Arabidopsis thaliana: one gene and its partner. The protein of the gene in region 1 interacts with the protein of each later gene in a biochemical or structural test. Each region holds a gene or a part of one and is shown in the gene's direction. Other genes may lie near its edges.

Evidence for each region.
Region 2: the proteins of KAT1 (region 1) and KAB1 form a complex in vitro, tested with the Arabidopsis thaliana proteins (one study listed by BioGRID).

What each region holds. Positions count from the first base shown.
Region 1 is NC_003076.8:18,742,625-18,751,372, reverse strand, and holds KAT1 (1), read left to right. Parts: upstream 1-3,966; 5' UTR 3,967-4,811; coding exon 4,812-4,990; intron 4,991-5,145; coding exon 5,146-5,361; intron 5,362-5,445; coding exon 5,446-5,601; intron 5,602-5,696; coding exon 5,697-5,754; intron 5,755-5,908; coding exon 5,909-6,226; intron 6,227-6,382; coding exon 6,383-6,622; intron 6,623-6,704; coding exon 6,705-6,803; intron 6,804-6,878; coding exon 6,879-7,097; intron 7,098-7,172; coding exon 7,173-7,721; 3' UTR 7,722-7,863; downstream 7,864-8,748. Other genes in the region: AT5G46230 (hypothetical protein (Protein of unknown function, DUF538)), read left to right, coding at 8,349-8,748. UniProt on the Arabidopsis thaliana protein: Highly selective inward-rectifying potassium channel. This voltage-gated channel could mediate long-term potassium influx into guard cells leading to stomatal opening.
Region 2 is NC_003070.9:1,310,453-1,317,843, forward strand, and holds KAB1 (potassium channel beta subunit 1), read left to right. Parts: upstream 1-2,990; 5' UTR 2,991-3,209; coding exon 3,210-3,577; intron 3,578-4,011; coding exon 4,012-4,207; intron 4,208-4,327; coding exon 4,328-4,471; intron 4,472-4,588; coding exon 4,589-4,753; intron 4,754-4,854; coding exon 4,855-4,968; 3' UTR 4,969-5,371; downstream 5,372-7,391. Other genes in the region: AT1G04700 (PB1 domain-containing protein tyrosine kinase), read left to right, coding at 6,467-7,391. UniProt on the Arabidopsis thaliana protein: Probable accessory potassium channel protein which modulates the activity of the pore-forming alpha subunit.

The sequences.
Region 1 (8,748 bases):
ACTCTTTCTTACTGACTGTTTATTTTAAATTTCATCAGCGTATATGTTTCAGTTAAATTGTTTATATTCTCATATTTATTGATCATACTCAAACTATGCAATTCATTAGTTAACACTTTTGATATTAGATATCCTTTAACAGAAACAACAACACTTTTGATGTTTGGGTACTTGGTTTCGTTCATCATTTGTATATGAAGTTGTTATATACATCAGAAGTTCTTATTCTCACACTTCTAGTGAAACAATCAAACTAAAAAACATCTAATGATTCTTTCGTAAGGAATATTATTTATAGGTCTCACGGGTGAAAATTTACTTTGACTCTTCGACAAAATGAAGGGATTACAATATTTCGAAACTCTACCAAATTAGTCAATCAAGCTACCATCCGTTTTTTTGTTTGTCTTGGCAGCATTTCTGATTTCTGAATTTTAACACTTGGGAATGATAGTTTAGCTTTAATAAAATATTACTAATGGGTGGGCTTAGGGTAAACAAAATTATGGACAAAAATCGATAGCGTCAAATCAATATACTTCTTTTGTACCTAACTAATCTAATTTTGTTTAGTTTTCAAACATAATAAGAAACATATTAATAATCAATGATTAATACATTATTTTGTAACTAACAATTTTCTATGTATAAACTCTACAATTCTTCATCAATAACTGATAAAAGCTATACTAAACCCCTAAAAATGTACAGTATATTTTTGAAATTTGATTATTAGGAACAGAGAGGAGTATTTTTCGAATATTTAAAAAGTGATGGTACCATATATTTCTAAATAAATGCTATTTTAGTTCTTTTGTCGGAAGGAAATGAAAGCACCTAATTATGGGGAACAAAATTAAAGAGCAAACTAACAGAACTTTATGTTCGTGTGGTTCCAAGGAAAAGAGAGATTGGAAAGGCTTAAACCGTTCTTAATTCACAGAATCACAGGCTATATATACCTACCCAACAAAAAACAAAATATTAGTGATCGATTTAATTTTTGCTTTACAACAAAAAGTTTCCCACGTTGTAGGACAATCACGAGGATCCTCCTTACGATTTTGACCCTACTCGTCATTAACTACATGAACCTAATTGCGTTAGACACACACACATCCTACAAACGTTATAATTCATCACATGTTTCAAAACCTAAGTTTATAGGCCAAACTGTAAATGACATGCTTGATTGAAGAGATAATTGCTAAATTTATTGGGAAAATCTTAATATTCTTTTTGCTATATAAATATTATTTCTTGATTTTGTACAACTCTTAGGTAATTTAGGTATCAAATGGTACATTGCGAAAACAGTAAGAAGCCTGCAAGTTTTACCCAATAAGAAATGGAAGGACCCATATATCAAGCCTAACTTTTAATGTAGACGACAAAAACAAATCTCATATAAATCATGCCGACATTACACAAACAAAATCACTTATGCAGTGTCTATGACTCGTTTATCATGTTGTTCTTGTACCGTTGATATTGTGGAAAATTATCTTGTTTTTATTTGTGTTAAATCAGATCTTTCTCCTCTTAGTAGCATGAGAAAGAGGATCAACCCGGGACGATATTCCATCCATAACGACTATAATTACAGTTAATGTTAAACTGTTTTTATTTATAAGACACAATTATAATACATCCATTAAGATTTTTAAAGTTTTCATAACAAAAAAAATAAAAAATATAATAATTAGACGCATTTTGATAATAGAAAAACTCTAAATTTTCAATAAAAGTCTCAACTGCCTTTACAGTCTAATATGATCATGAGAAGGGTTAAGAATAGAATAGTTGACTTTTAACTTAATGGAAGATTTACTGGAAAATGTCTCTATCTGTTATCTAGTATTGGACCCGTTAATAATGTGCAACGTATAATGTAGGGTACTAAATCCCAAGAAAAATCTAGATTTTCTAGATAACATATTTAACCAGAAAAGAAAAAAAATTGTAGTGGAATAGACCAGCATGGTTCAATCTGGTCGTTACTAAAACTACCAATCCAAAACCTACCAACTATAATACAATATGACTACAAATACGGTTTTGAAGATTAATTCGCGGCTAACCATCAAAAAATAATGTTTGACGATGGCTCATGGTTCCACTCGCCAACCATATACAGTTTATATTCTCTTTTGAGACCTCAAAATCAAGTTACTAGAACTCGATGATCTTACATGAATATAAAATGAAAATCAGCTCCAATGTAGTTTGAAGAAGGTATAAAACAGGTTTAGACCAACCGATTCCAAGACTTATGATGGCCCACAACAACAAAAATAACTAACAAATTTTTAGACCCTACACTACTCTTAGCATGCATGTGACAGCTTAAACTTAAATTTAAACAGTTAACATGAACAACCCCACTTGCACTAGGAAGACAGCAAATAGCAAACTTAAAGCAGTTTACGATTTCTGGTCTTTTAAGGCAAGGTTTAGTAACCCAGTAATTCCTTTTGATTTGAAATATATGAATAACCGAAATTAAAAAACAAAAAAAAAATCACAAAATACTAAAATTTGAAAGCCGAAATAATTCATTTTTCAATAGTTATAATCATCTTTTAAAAAGTAAGTTAGATCATAAAACCTAATATAAAACTTTTATTGGCAAAACTAATTAATCACGAGAAAATAATATTAAAGTTAGCTCATGTTATGTTTATATTAGGAATCTCTCATTTACTTTATTTTGTTTTGTTTTGTTTCTATAATGATATTAGGATTCAGGAAGACAATAAACAAAATATCAACAAGGAATCATGAAAGATACATTCGAACGGGCTCAGATCGACGCAGAAACAAAAAGCTTTGGAATGATTTAATAATACAAATTTGGCGGAAAGGTTTGAAGAATTTATACTTGGCATTCTATACTAGCGAACGAAAACAAAAGTTTAGTCAAATATTTAGGATTACCAAAAAATCAATATTCGTATACAAATGTGTTTTATTATAAACCATGATTTTTCATAACTTTATTCTTAGTTGTTTCAATTTGTTTTCTCTCATTTCTCGTTCCTATTGTAGAAAAAATTCCTGATTCTTTTTTCTTTTCTTTTGTTTTCCCATGTCAATTATAACCGCATTAGAAAAGGTTAGCACATGTTCATTTGCACAGAATGTAGTCAATGTACAATTCATCTATAATTTATCACCTTTTTGTTAAAAATATTTATAGCCATGTTATATATATTTTATCATGTTGTGTTTTAAACTCTAGATTTGTTCTTTCACAGTTTATGGGATTTATCATTTCATATATTTCCTCCTATGAGTAAGATGTCATTTTTAAATTCTTAATTAAGAATTTAGAAATCAAGTTTATTATTTTGTTAAAATTTATAAATTACGTATTTTTCCTTTATTAGTGAGATTAAGATATAAAGAGTCTAGCACACTAGAGAAATGAAAACATACATATATCTAGAAAGGGTTTATAAGAAATTAGTAAATGGAATCAGAACATGAAGGAGAAGGGAGGGGCCACCATACCGACGGGAATGAGAAGTATGGGACGGACAAGAAATCAAGTGTACACACATGAAAAAACCCACCACGTGAAGATCTCCTATTGGTGTGTCTTCTCCTAAGTACTAAGTATAAACCAAAGTCAAAACACAACAAAGACATATTGCTTGCGAGCCAGCGAGTGTGTCCGAGTGAGAAGAGAGTTTGGGACTTCACTGTTTAGAGAGCCTCATTCGCTACCTAGATTCGGTTTATCCACGTGGAGAGTTCACGTAGCTTCTATAATAATAATACATTATATAAGCTGTTTCGGTAAAATAATCTTAGAGTTTCACTTCCCATGCAAAAAGATTAAATGGACTACTATATTTTCTATATGAGTGTTTTGGAAATAATCTTCCAAGTTTATGGCTATTTAGTAAAACTCAATCCAAAATGAGAACAATAACTTTTTTTTTTTTTTTTTTGCAATGAGTACAATAAACTTATGATTGGTTTTGGGGACTAGAAAATAAAATAGAGACATATACTTTAAGAATAGTTGATGAGAAAATAAAACTTTTTTCGAAGAAAGAAAAAAAAATATACTCTGGCCCCTTACATATTCTGTCAAATGCCATTTTATTTTCTTTATTTTGCTTGGTCCATTTCTGGATTCCTGAAATGAACACACCATAATTTTCATGCCCATTTTTGTCCTCCCATTAACACTTACCAAACACCAAACGTACCTTCCTTCCTTTATATGTGTCTCTATGTCTATATATCACTCCCACCTTCAAATGCTAGGAAAGTGGACATCACACCATAGTCTGATAGTCATGAATCTCATCAAGTAGAAACCTCCAAAGAAACAGATTGCGTTTCCTCTTCTTCTTCCTCCTCTTTCGAATCTTATATTTTCGTGTCAAAAAAGAAACAAAATATGATGATATCTACCGCAAAAGCTCAATGTTTGCCACTTAAATTCTGTCTCATCTCTCAAGATTTTTGATCATCTCACACTTACTCCGTTCCGCATTTTACGCCTTTTCTTCACCATTGTTGCTTCTCGAATCGAAACCATATTGGTTTTGCAGCATTAATGGTGCACTGAGTCTTCTTAAAGCCGTTAACCTTTCCCTGCCAAATTCTCAACCAAAAAGAAAAAAAGATAACAAATGGGTCACAACAAGTTGCCATAAAGGTCCCAACAGAAGAAGAAAAGAGAAGTTTCCCCGTGTTGCTTTGTCACAAGCTTCATCACTATTTATAACTACCTTGCCAAGAAGAAAGCCTAAAAAGGTATAACAGTTTCTTTGTCTTTAGAGATCATCAAAAAGATGTCGATCTCTTGGACTCGAAATTTCTTCGAAAGATTCTGCGTCGAGGAATACAATATAGACACCATAAAACAGAGTAGTTTCCTCTCTGCCGATCTTCTACCATCTCTTGGAGCCAGGATCAACCAATCTACTAAGCTCCGCAAACACATAATCTCTCCTTTTAATCCACGTTACAGGTAATTTTCTCATCTACTAAACTCTGTTTTAAGTACTCTGTTTTCAACTATGTTTTCAACTATTCAGGTTATAAGTAGTTTTAACTACTCTGTTTTTACTCACGTTATAAGTATATTTAAAGACTCTGTTTTCAATCCTCTGTTTGTTGAAACAGAGCGTGGGAGATGTGGCTAGTATTACTAGTTATTTACTCAGCTTGGATTTGCCCATTTCAATTTGCTTTCATCACCTATAAAAAAGACGCGATTTTCATCATCGACAACATTGTTAATGGCTTCTTCGCCATTGATATTATTCTCACCTTCTTCGTCGCTTATCTCGATAGCCACTCCTATCTTCTAGTTGACAGTCCTAAGAAAATAGCAATAAGGTGAGAAACCTTTTTTCTTAACTTGAAACCTTTTATAAGTGAATGAGAATCTCAAAGTATGTTTTGAAATTGTAACATTTTCAGGTACCTTTCGACGTGGTTCGCTTTCGATGTTTGTTCCACAGCACCATTTCAGCCACTAAGCCTCTTGTTTAACTACAACGGAAGCGAACTAGGATTCAGAATTCTTAGCATGCTCAGGTTATGGCGTCTCCGGCGAGTTAGCTCGCTATTTGCAAGGTTTGCTTCTATGCTAACTAAGAGACCATACTCTTCTTAGGGTTTAACTAAGAAAGTGCTTACTCAAGTCTAACTAACTCTTACCTTTGCTTCAGGCTTGAGAAAGATATCCGTTTCAACTATTTCTGGATACGTTGCACAAAACTCATTTCGGTTAGTTCCAAAACAGAGCAAAACTAATCTCACTTATAATAAAGCATTTTAAGCTTAGGGCTGTCCATTTAGGTGATCTATTCTTAGGGTTTATTTGTCTTTTAAATGGACACCATATTAAAGCTAGTGACTTACACGTGCTTGTTGATCTCAGGTCACTTTGTTCGCTATACATTGTGCTGGATGTTTCAACTACCTGATTGCAGATAGATATCCTAATCCAAGAAAGACATGGATTGGAGCTGTGTATCCAAATTTCAAAGAAGCAAGTCTATGGAATAGATATGTGACTGCTCTTTACTGGTCCATTACGACATTAACGACCACGGGATATGGAGATTTTCATGCTGAGAACCCAAGAGAAATGCTTTTTGACATTTTCTTCATGATGTTCAACCTCGGTTTGACAGCTTACCTCATTGGAAATATGACCAACCTCGTCGTTCATTGGACTAGCCGAACCAGAACCTTTGTAAGTTTGATCACTTTCTTTTAGTCTAGGCATGTTCATTTCGGATAAAGGTTCGGGTAATAGCGTGGGGTTTACGTACTTTTGAGTATTTTAAGTTGACTAAAATAATATTGAGTATTACTAATCTGTAATGCTTTATTGCTTTGTGTTAAACAGAGGGATTCAGTGAGAGCTGCTTCAGAGTTTGCTTCAAGAAATCAACTCCCACATGACATACAAGATCAAATGTTATCACACATTTGCTTAAAGTTCAAAACAGAGGGCTTGAAACAACAAGAGACCTTGAACAATCTGCCAAAAGCAATCCGGTCAAGCATTGCAAACTATTTATTCTTCCCCATTGTTCACAACATTTACCTCTTTCAAGGAGTTTCTCGTAACTTCCTCTTTCAATTGGTAAAATTGTATTCTCTAACCTTTTTTCTTAACGTTTAATATGTAAGAGGTGACCAACTCCATGTACCTTTTCATGTTCAAGGTTTCAGATATAGACGCTGAGTATTTCCCACCAAAAGAAGATATAATTCTACAAAACGAAGCTCCTACTGATCTTTACATTCTGGTGTCAGGAGCAGTGGTGAGTGAAATATATCGGTTATATGTAAATATGTGAATAACAGTTAGGAATCTTGTAACATTGTGTATTGTACAGGACTTCACTGTCTACGTTGATGGACATGATCAGTTTCAAGGGAAAGCAGTAATTGGAGAAACATTTGGAGAGGTTGGAGTTTTATACTATAGACCACAACCATTCACAGTAAGAACAACCGAGCTATCTCAAATACTGCGGATAAGCAGAACATCGCTGATGAGTGCGATGCATGCTCATGCTGACGATGGACGAGTCATCATGAACAATCTCTTCATGGTATGTGAGTTATTATAGAAATGTTTCTATAGTTAAAACAAACTCTAAACTCATTTTTGGCTATAAAACTTTCAGAAACTTAGAGGGCAACAGTCAATAGCAATAGATGATTCGAATACTAGTGGTCACGAAAACAGAGATTTCAAAAGCATGGGATGGGAAGAGTGGAGAGATTCAAGAAAAGATGGCTATGGTTTAGATGTTACGAATCCGACTTCCGACACTGCTCTAATGGATGCGATTCACAAGGAAGATACTGAAATGGTTAAGAAGATACTTAAGGAACAAAAGATAGAGAGAGCCAAAGTGGAAAGATCAAGTAGTGAAACCGCTGGAAGAAGTTACGCTAACGATTCATCGAAAAAAGATCCATATTGCAGCTCAAGCAACCAAATCATCAAGCCATGCAAACGAGAAGAAAAGAGAGTTACCATCCACATGATGTCTGAGAGCAAGAACGGGAAGTTGATACTCTTACCATCATCCATAGAAGAGCTTCTAAGACTTGCAAGTGAGAAGTTTGGAGGCTGCAACTTCACAAAGATCACCAATGCGGACAACGCTGAGATTGATGATTTAGATGTCATTTGGGATGGTGATCATTTGTATTTTTCATCAAATTGAGTTTGAAAACTCGACTTCATTTATAGAGCATGTATATCTGCAGATAATGTATTTTTACCCGGTTTCATAGAAAAGTCTAGATTATCAAAAGCAGAGTATACAAAACTGACATTAATTGACACAAAAACACAATCTTATTTCACAGCTTGACTATGATACATTGATACCGTTCTGTTTGAACACAAAACATTATTCTACACGAGTCTTCTGCTTTGAACTTGTTTCACATGATAAATCAAGAAAATTTTATTTTTCTCTATTATCAATAAAGATTTTAAGAAATTTACCTATTAAAAAGACGAAATTTTTTTTTCAGAAAATTAAGCGTATATTCAGTTTGATTTATTTTAAATTTAAACACTTCAACATGTTTGTAATAAAAAAAAATCAAAATAAGAAATTCTCGAATGTATTTTATATTCAATCAACGAATAAAATAAATTATTCCACGAACATGAACTGCATGCGTCCCACCTCATTTTATACGAAATTTCCATGTTACCCTCTCTAATACTATTCTCCTTCCTCTTCCACAGACCCAATTTCGTCATTCAATTCCAAAACTCACACCTCTATATAAATCCAGCAAAAAGTCCCCAAAAAGTCACCACCACAAATCTCATCGAAATGTCGTCTCAAGAAACGAAATCAGATCAAAGAGAAGGAGCAGAGATCTGCAATGGCGAATCAAACTGCAAACAGAAAGCCAAAGAGATTTTATCAACCATGAATCTACCCAAAGGTCTTCTTCCTCTAGACAACATGACAGAGATCGGTCACAACAAATCAACCGGTTATGTCTGGATCAAGATCAAGAACAAGGTTCAACATCGGTTTAAAGCCATTGGACGAAACGTATCTTACGATTCGGAGGTTACTGCGATCCTTGAGAATCGTCGGATGAGTCAGCTCACGGGAATCAAGAGCAAAGAGATTTTGATTTGGGTTACGATCTCTGAGATCTTTGTTAATCATCAAGATCCGACTCAAATCACTTTTGCTAATCCTACGGGACTATCACGTACTT
Region 2 (7,391 bases), on another chromosome or scaffold:
TGGTGCGAAATGTTTGGTTACGCCAAAACTCGCGGGTCAAATTGGTCCCAATCACTTCTTTTTTACTCATCGTTTTTTTCTCATTTTCCTCACGACCTCTCCTAAGTGAAAAACAGCAAGAACCCATTATTCGACTCTGTGACTAATTTTTGTCATTAACCATTAAACCGGGAAAGTCTAGCCATATAGTGTTTGTTTAATCAGCCAAAAATTACAAGTTCAGTAAAAGAGTGTGTCTTTCTTTGATGAATTGGACGATTACGCGAAAATATTAAATGAGCTAAACGATCAATCGTCGTTACCATTATTCCAGTTTACGACATATCTTTACTGCATGTAAATGTTTCAGTTGATTTCCTTGAATCAAACCTTGGAGACGACATCTTCATCATGATCCAGTGCCATAAATGTATATAAGTGTGATATATTTATGATTACATTTTGAGGTATGTATATAAATAGATATATAGTGGATAATTCGAAGTATTTGTATTTGTCGCTGGTTACTATATTAGCTGAGGCACCGACACTCCCAAACGTTACAAAAATATCGAATAGTTGGAACTTGGATCCTATCGACATTGTACGTCGTCGTTTTGTGCTACGAAGAGACGTGGTTTTGTTTTTAGTTTAGTTATGTGTTGTTTTTGTCTTTGTTATATAAAACTAAATGACAAAATTTGCACACAAGAAAGAAACCAAAAGATTTTAGATCCTCTCGATCGGACGTACGCTAGAAGGTTCTTCCGTAATTTTCATATAAATGATCTTTATCGTGTCATTGCAACGTTAAATTCGATTGAGACGTGTCAAATTAATTTCTTCTAACTATGCGGTGTCATTATATTACGAATTAGCAAAAAAAGATGAAAAATGCATGTGAGATCTACCTAAGATACTGTTCTAAAATATATACGGTTTTCTTGCGCGATTAGAGATCAACATACGATTAGAGATCGGCGATTAAAGATTTGCTGGAAAATGACTCATATATATTTCCCAATCCTCGCAGATAAAATAAAACGGCACTTTACCGTTTTCTTTAGAAGTTAGTCGAAGACAAGTATTCTAAAAATTCAACAAAAACAAGAAACGAAAAGTAAACTACAAAATGTTAGAAAAGACTCACATGAAACACTCACTGTGCCTCTCTAATCAAATGGAAAAAAGTGGAGAGTTTAAACTTATAAGTATAGTATAGATGATAGAAATCTTCTAAAAACGATACCCGTGAACTAAGTTGATCCTGTGATCTTCATAATCCATACAATTTCAACAGAAAAATACTTTTTTGTGTTTTAAAAAATACTGCGAAAAGCTATATAAATAGTAAGATAAATTGGTTTAAATCCAAAGGTATGATAAAATTCTTTCTCAAAAACGTCATATTTGGTTAGTAGTACTCTTAATCGAGTGGTTCATCAAAATGTATCGGTTTATATATATCAGATCTTGAATAATTTGCAAAAACTCAAAATTTCTTACAACTAATAGCAATATATCATGTATCATATAGCTAGGTAAAAGTAAAATCATACGTTTTAAAAAAACTGTGGTAGGGAATTATATATGAAGCCGTTTATAATAGCATGCATGTGCTTAACATAGCAAAAAACCATATGATTAGTATCGGGGTACATGAAAGAAAAGGGCAGATAAAGCTAGATTAGGATTTGATAACGTACGAGAAAAAATCGAGAAAAAATGTCAACCCTTGGTGGGAGATTTAGGCGAATTTTCTAATCTATCTTCCTCTTATTTTTTTCTTGGTGGCCAATAAAACTAGAGTTTTTAGAGGGTAACGAATCCAAACCCCACACTCACATGCATCGAATCCAATCTGTTTCTCCAACCCATTCATTACCAAAACAGCAGATAAATTTTATAATTCATCAAGTCTACCAATATTAATTATCTTCTCATAATCATAAACTTGGTTCTCTTTATCCAATATTATCTTCTCATAATCATAAACTTGATTCTCAAACATTATTACTAAATCTATTTTTCTTTTCCCCTTCTAATATTCTTTACTTTAACAATACAAATACAACTCCTTTTAAGACTTTTTTTTATAGTAAAGAGTTATACATAACATGTTTGGTAACATAGTAAAATAGCTAATATAATAGACCTTTTCTAAAAATTGTCAAAATACAATAAGTGTAATTGGTGGATAACATGTCTACTTTAAAAAACTTTTTAGAGTATTAAAATTGTCGTCCCATAAACTATATAAATGATCATCATAAATGTATTACAATAACAGCATATCAAGACTTGACGGTTATCAGCCAAAATCATTAAATTTTGGAATTAGATGTTAATAATATACAAGTGTCATGTCGATCTCTTGTTTACATATCCAAACATCTCTATGTGTGACGTGAGTTACTACTTACTAGAATATGGAGTAAGATAATATGGGCTTCCTAAAAGGCCTATACAGAAACAAAGCCCAACAACCTAAAACCCAGTGTGAACGTGAAGGACTTGAAATATTCCAAAGTTGAGTGACTGATGAAACCTTTCACGTGACAGTGACTTGATTTTATTCGTATACGGGCAAAGTTCTTCCATTACTGCAAAAACTCTTCTATTAATGACCAACTTTTCATAAAAGAAAGTACACGTGTCTGTCATTAGATTGGTAGGTACATGGAGACTACACTAAAGTCATTCACATGGGATTCTTTGACCCATTAGGAGCCAAATAAAAATCTTCTCTTTTTAGTCTTTTTTTTCCATCTTAATTAAAATTACGAGATCACGCTTTCTTTTTTAGTACGAGGGATCAGCATCTTAATTAGATCACGAATTAAAATCACATATTTTATACAAATTGCGACTTAACCGGAATACCTTTAGACCGGATAAATTCTTACCAACAACCAATATCTGGAGGTTCAATATGGTTTGGTACCTAATTTTGTACCGGAAATTGCAGAAATCATCGTATTCGAGTGTTGGATTTGCTATGATATTACATTCAAAATTTTGGTACATATTGGTTGATCATGAAAACCGGAAAAGTAAAACCAAACCGGTAGCTTACCGTATTTTGCTAAGTGTTGTCACTTATTAAGATTGGTAATAGAGTACTTATTGTCTGTTCTTCTTCATTCATTACAACAAACTCTTTGAGACCTAAAGAGAGAGAGAGCGATAGTGAGATTTAGATCAACAGATTTGAATCGATTTCTGAAAACATGCAGTACAAGAATCTGGGGAAATCGGGTTTAAAAGTGAGCACGCTCTCGTTCGGAGCGTGGGTTACGTTCGGGAACCAGCTCGATGTGAAAGAAGCGAAATCGATTCTTCAGTGTTGTCGTGATCATGGAGTCAATTTCTTCGATAACGCTGAGGTTTACGCTAATGGTCGCGCTGAGGAGATTATGGGTCAAGCGATTCGTGAACTGGGTTGGCGTCGATCCGATATCGTCATCTCTACCAAGATCTTCTGGGGTGGTCCTGGTCCTAACGATAAGGGTTTATCTAGGAAACATATCGTTGAAGGCACTAAAGCTTCTCTCAAACGACTTGATATGGATTACGTTGATGTGCTCTATTGCCACAGGTGACCAATTTCAGATTTGTTTTTTTATTTAGTGATTTTATTTTTTTTCACTTGGTTCTTTGAAGATCTAGGGTTTTGATATGATCTGATTTGAGTGTAAGGTTTATCTGAATATTTCTGGTGTACTATGTTGTCTGCGCATTTAATTTTCTTACATGTGCTTGCCTTTAGTACAAATTGCTGTTTTTGAATTTATAAAATTTACAATTTGAATCCACTTATGATGTAGCTTAGTGCTGTATAGTGTGGATCTATTTGGTTTCCACTTTTATTTCATATCTGATAATTGGGATCTGCATTTTGCCATACATTGCACAAGATATTTTGGAAAAGTGGCATCTTTGCATTGATCTAAGTGTCACTAGATTCTTTGATTGACATATGTTTATTAAAAATGTTTCCTTTTTTTGTGTGAATTGGGTCATTTATTACAGGCCGGATGCTTCAACTCCTATCGAAGAGACTGTGAGGGCGATGAACTACGTGATTGATAAGGGTTGGGCCTTCTATTGGGGAACCAGTGAATGGTCAGCTCAACAAATTACGGAGGCATGGGGAGCTGCTGACCGGTTGGATTTGGTTGGTCCAATTGTCGAACAGCCAGAATACAACATGTTCGCTAGGCACAAAGTTTGTAATCTGACTCTCTTTTTCTTTAATTTACTTTCATGTTTGCGTCTTATCTTGTACAGTCTTAAGTTGTTGTAGTCTCGTGTTATGTAGCTCAAGTTATGCTCTTCTGTTATGTAGGTTGAGACAGAGTTTCTTCCTCTGTACACCAACCATGGTATAGGTCTCACTACCTGGAGCCCACTTGCATCTGGTGTGCTCACTGGTAAATACAACAAGGGAGCTATTCCCTCAGACAGCCGATTTGCATTGGAGAACTACAAAGTATTCCTTTTTTTTCCTTTTTCTTGTGTATTCTTGGTCATATTTGCTAAGACCTCAATCTGCTTCTGCATCTAACTAATACACTGGTACATGTCTTGGTTTTAATTTCTTTCGCAGAACCTTGCCAATAGATCACTTGTGGATGACGTGCTGAGGAAAGTTAGCGGTCTCAAACCCATTGCAGATGAGCTAGGTGTAACCTTGGCTCAGCTTGCAATCGCATGGTGTGCTTCAAATCCTAATGTGTCATCTGTTATCACTGGTGCCACAAGGGAGTCACAGGTTAGTTCTTGATCGCTTATAAAGCATTAACATAGCGAGTCTCGGTCTAGATTTGGATCCAAGATCTGAAAGATTTTGTTTCTTTTTTTGTACCTTGACAGATTCAAGAAAATATGAAAGCTGTTGATGTGATCCCATTGTTGACCCCTATTGTTCTGGACAAGATTGAGCAAGTGATACAGAGCAAACCAAAACGTCCTGAATCATATAGGTAAAACCAACATCCAAGATCTCTCTTCCCTATTCAATCGTTTACAAAAGAGTGTTGCAGGAAAAAGAAAACATTAGAAGAAGCTCTGTGATGTATGTTGTTGGATGTTGTCTCGTTTTCGCTTTGTTTGTTCTCTTTAGCAGCTTATGCATTTTTAAGACTCAGACAGAGAGAAAGAGAGACTAATGTTTTTTTTTAGTTTTTCTTGTTTCATCATTTAAAAAACGGTCTTATTTGTTACTTGTTAGTGCAACTTAAAGTTTGGTTCTTGTAGTTTGCCATGTCATGACGTCAATATATTGAATAGCTCATCAAACAATTCTGGTTATATCTTAATGTTGTGAAGATTTTAATTTAGTGCAAGGGGGTTGATATGTTATTAATAAAGATTTAATGGAGGTATTTAAAGCTCAACGTGCACAACATAATGTCTCAACTATATACCATGTTTTTAAAAACATACATGCATAGACATCCTACACAATCTTTTTAGGTAAGATCCCAATAAAAATCTAAATTTGGATGATCTGTTTTATTTGGTTAACAAAACTAAGAGATGAGTAAAGAAAATAAAAGAGTTTCTGGAATTGGCTAAAAAAAGAAAGAAATAGATAAAAACGTTCCCTCAAAAACCTCCACATGCAATTTATGAATTTACTATTTGAAAAAAATAAAAATAAGATAAGACAAAATTATTAATAGATTGAAGATGATTTCACCCATGATTCAAGTGCAACGAATAAAATCAAAAATAATTTCAAGAATAAGAAATAAAAAGAGAGAATTTCGAGAGAGAAAGGTTTAGTTTTTATTTTGTTTGGAGTTTGTCACCCACCCGCGTTATTTTGAGAGCGCTTCTCTGCGTCTCTCTTCTCTCTCTCTCTCTCGCAAATCAAAAACCTCAACTTTTGAAAAACTTCAATCTCTAGAAACATTCTTCTCTTTTACCCAAAAATCTCATCTTTTGTTTGTTTGTTATTCTTCTCCTTCATTGTTAATCTCATTGGCCATTTTTCCCTAGGTAATCAAATTCATCTAAAGCTCCAATTTTTCAATTCGATTACACCACATTCGGTGTCATCAATGATCTCGTTGCTTATATATGTATATACAATTGATTTGTGTGATCAACATTTGCAGAAAAAATTGATTTTGAAATTTGTTTCTCGTTGTTGTTGTTGTTGTTGTTATGCAGGGTAATTTCTGGTCTAATTCGTTTGAATGAGACTCTGGTCTTTGTTTGATTTGGTATGATCTTGTAGCAATATACCCTGAAGATGTTTGTTGGAGGTTTGCTGATAGACAAAATTGCTTGTGGCTTGTGAATCTCCATTACCTGTTCGCTGTATTTCCTCAAAGAGCGTAAGAGAATCCTGTATTTTCCTCTCAACATTTTTTGTTTTGAAATTTGGGGAGTTGAAGAACAGAAATTGGTTACTCAGAATCTGTGATACAAGAGATTGTGCAGAAGAAAGAATAAAGCGTTTTTGGTTCTTGAGAACATGAGAATGGAGTTTCCTGGCAGCTCCAATCAGCATTTAGGTAGGGATAGGTTCAATGGAGAAGTTGGTTGCGGTAATAACTGTTCTCAGACAGGAGAGGAATTTTCAAATGAGTTTTTGAGGGATTTTGGTGCTCAACGAAGACTACAACATGGTGGTGTTAACAGAAATGTTGAGGGTAATTATAATAATCGCCATCTTGTTTACGAGGATTTCAACAGAATTCTTGGCCTTCAAAGAGTTGATTCCAACATGTCAGAAGGTATTAATTCCTCGAATGGTTACTTTGCTGAGTCAAATGTTGCAGACTCACCTCGGAAGATGTTTCAAACTGCAATATCAGATGTTTATTTGCCTGAAGTATTGAAGCTTCTTTGTAGCTTCGGGGGAAGGATCTTACAGCGGCCTGGTGATGGCAAGCTTAGATACATTGGAGGGGAGACTCGGATTATCTCAATACGCAAACATGTTGGATTAAACGAATTGATGCACAAGACTTATGCTTTGTGCAACCATCCGCATACAATCAAGTATCAATTACCAGGAGAAGATCTTGATGCCCTTATATCGGTTTGCTCAGATGAGGATCTTCTTCATATGATTGAAGAGTATCAAGAAGCTGAAACAAAGGCTGGATCCCAGAGGATTAGGGTCTTTCTTGTACCTTCCACAGAATCATCAGAGAGTCCTAAAATTTTCCATGAAAGGAATATGAACATAAACCGAAACACGAACCAGCAGACGGATATAGATCATTATCAGTATGTTTCAGCTCTTAATGGTATTGTAGATGTGAGTCCTCAAAAGAGTTCCAGCGGCCAAAGTGGAACAAGTCAGACCACACAATTTGGGAATGCTTCAGAATTTAGCCCTACATTTCATCTTCGAGACTCGCCTACTTCTGTTCATACATGGGAACACAAAG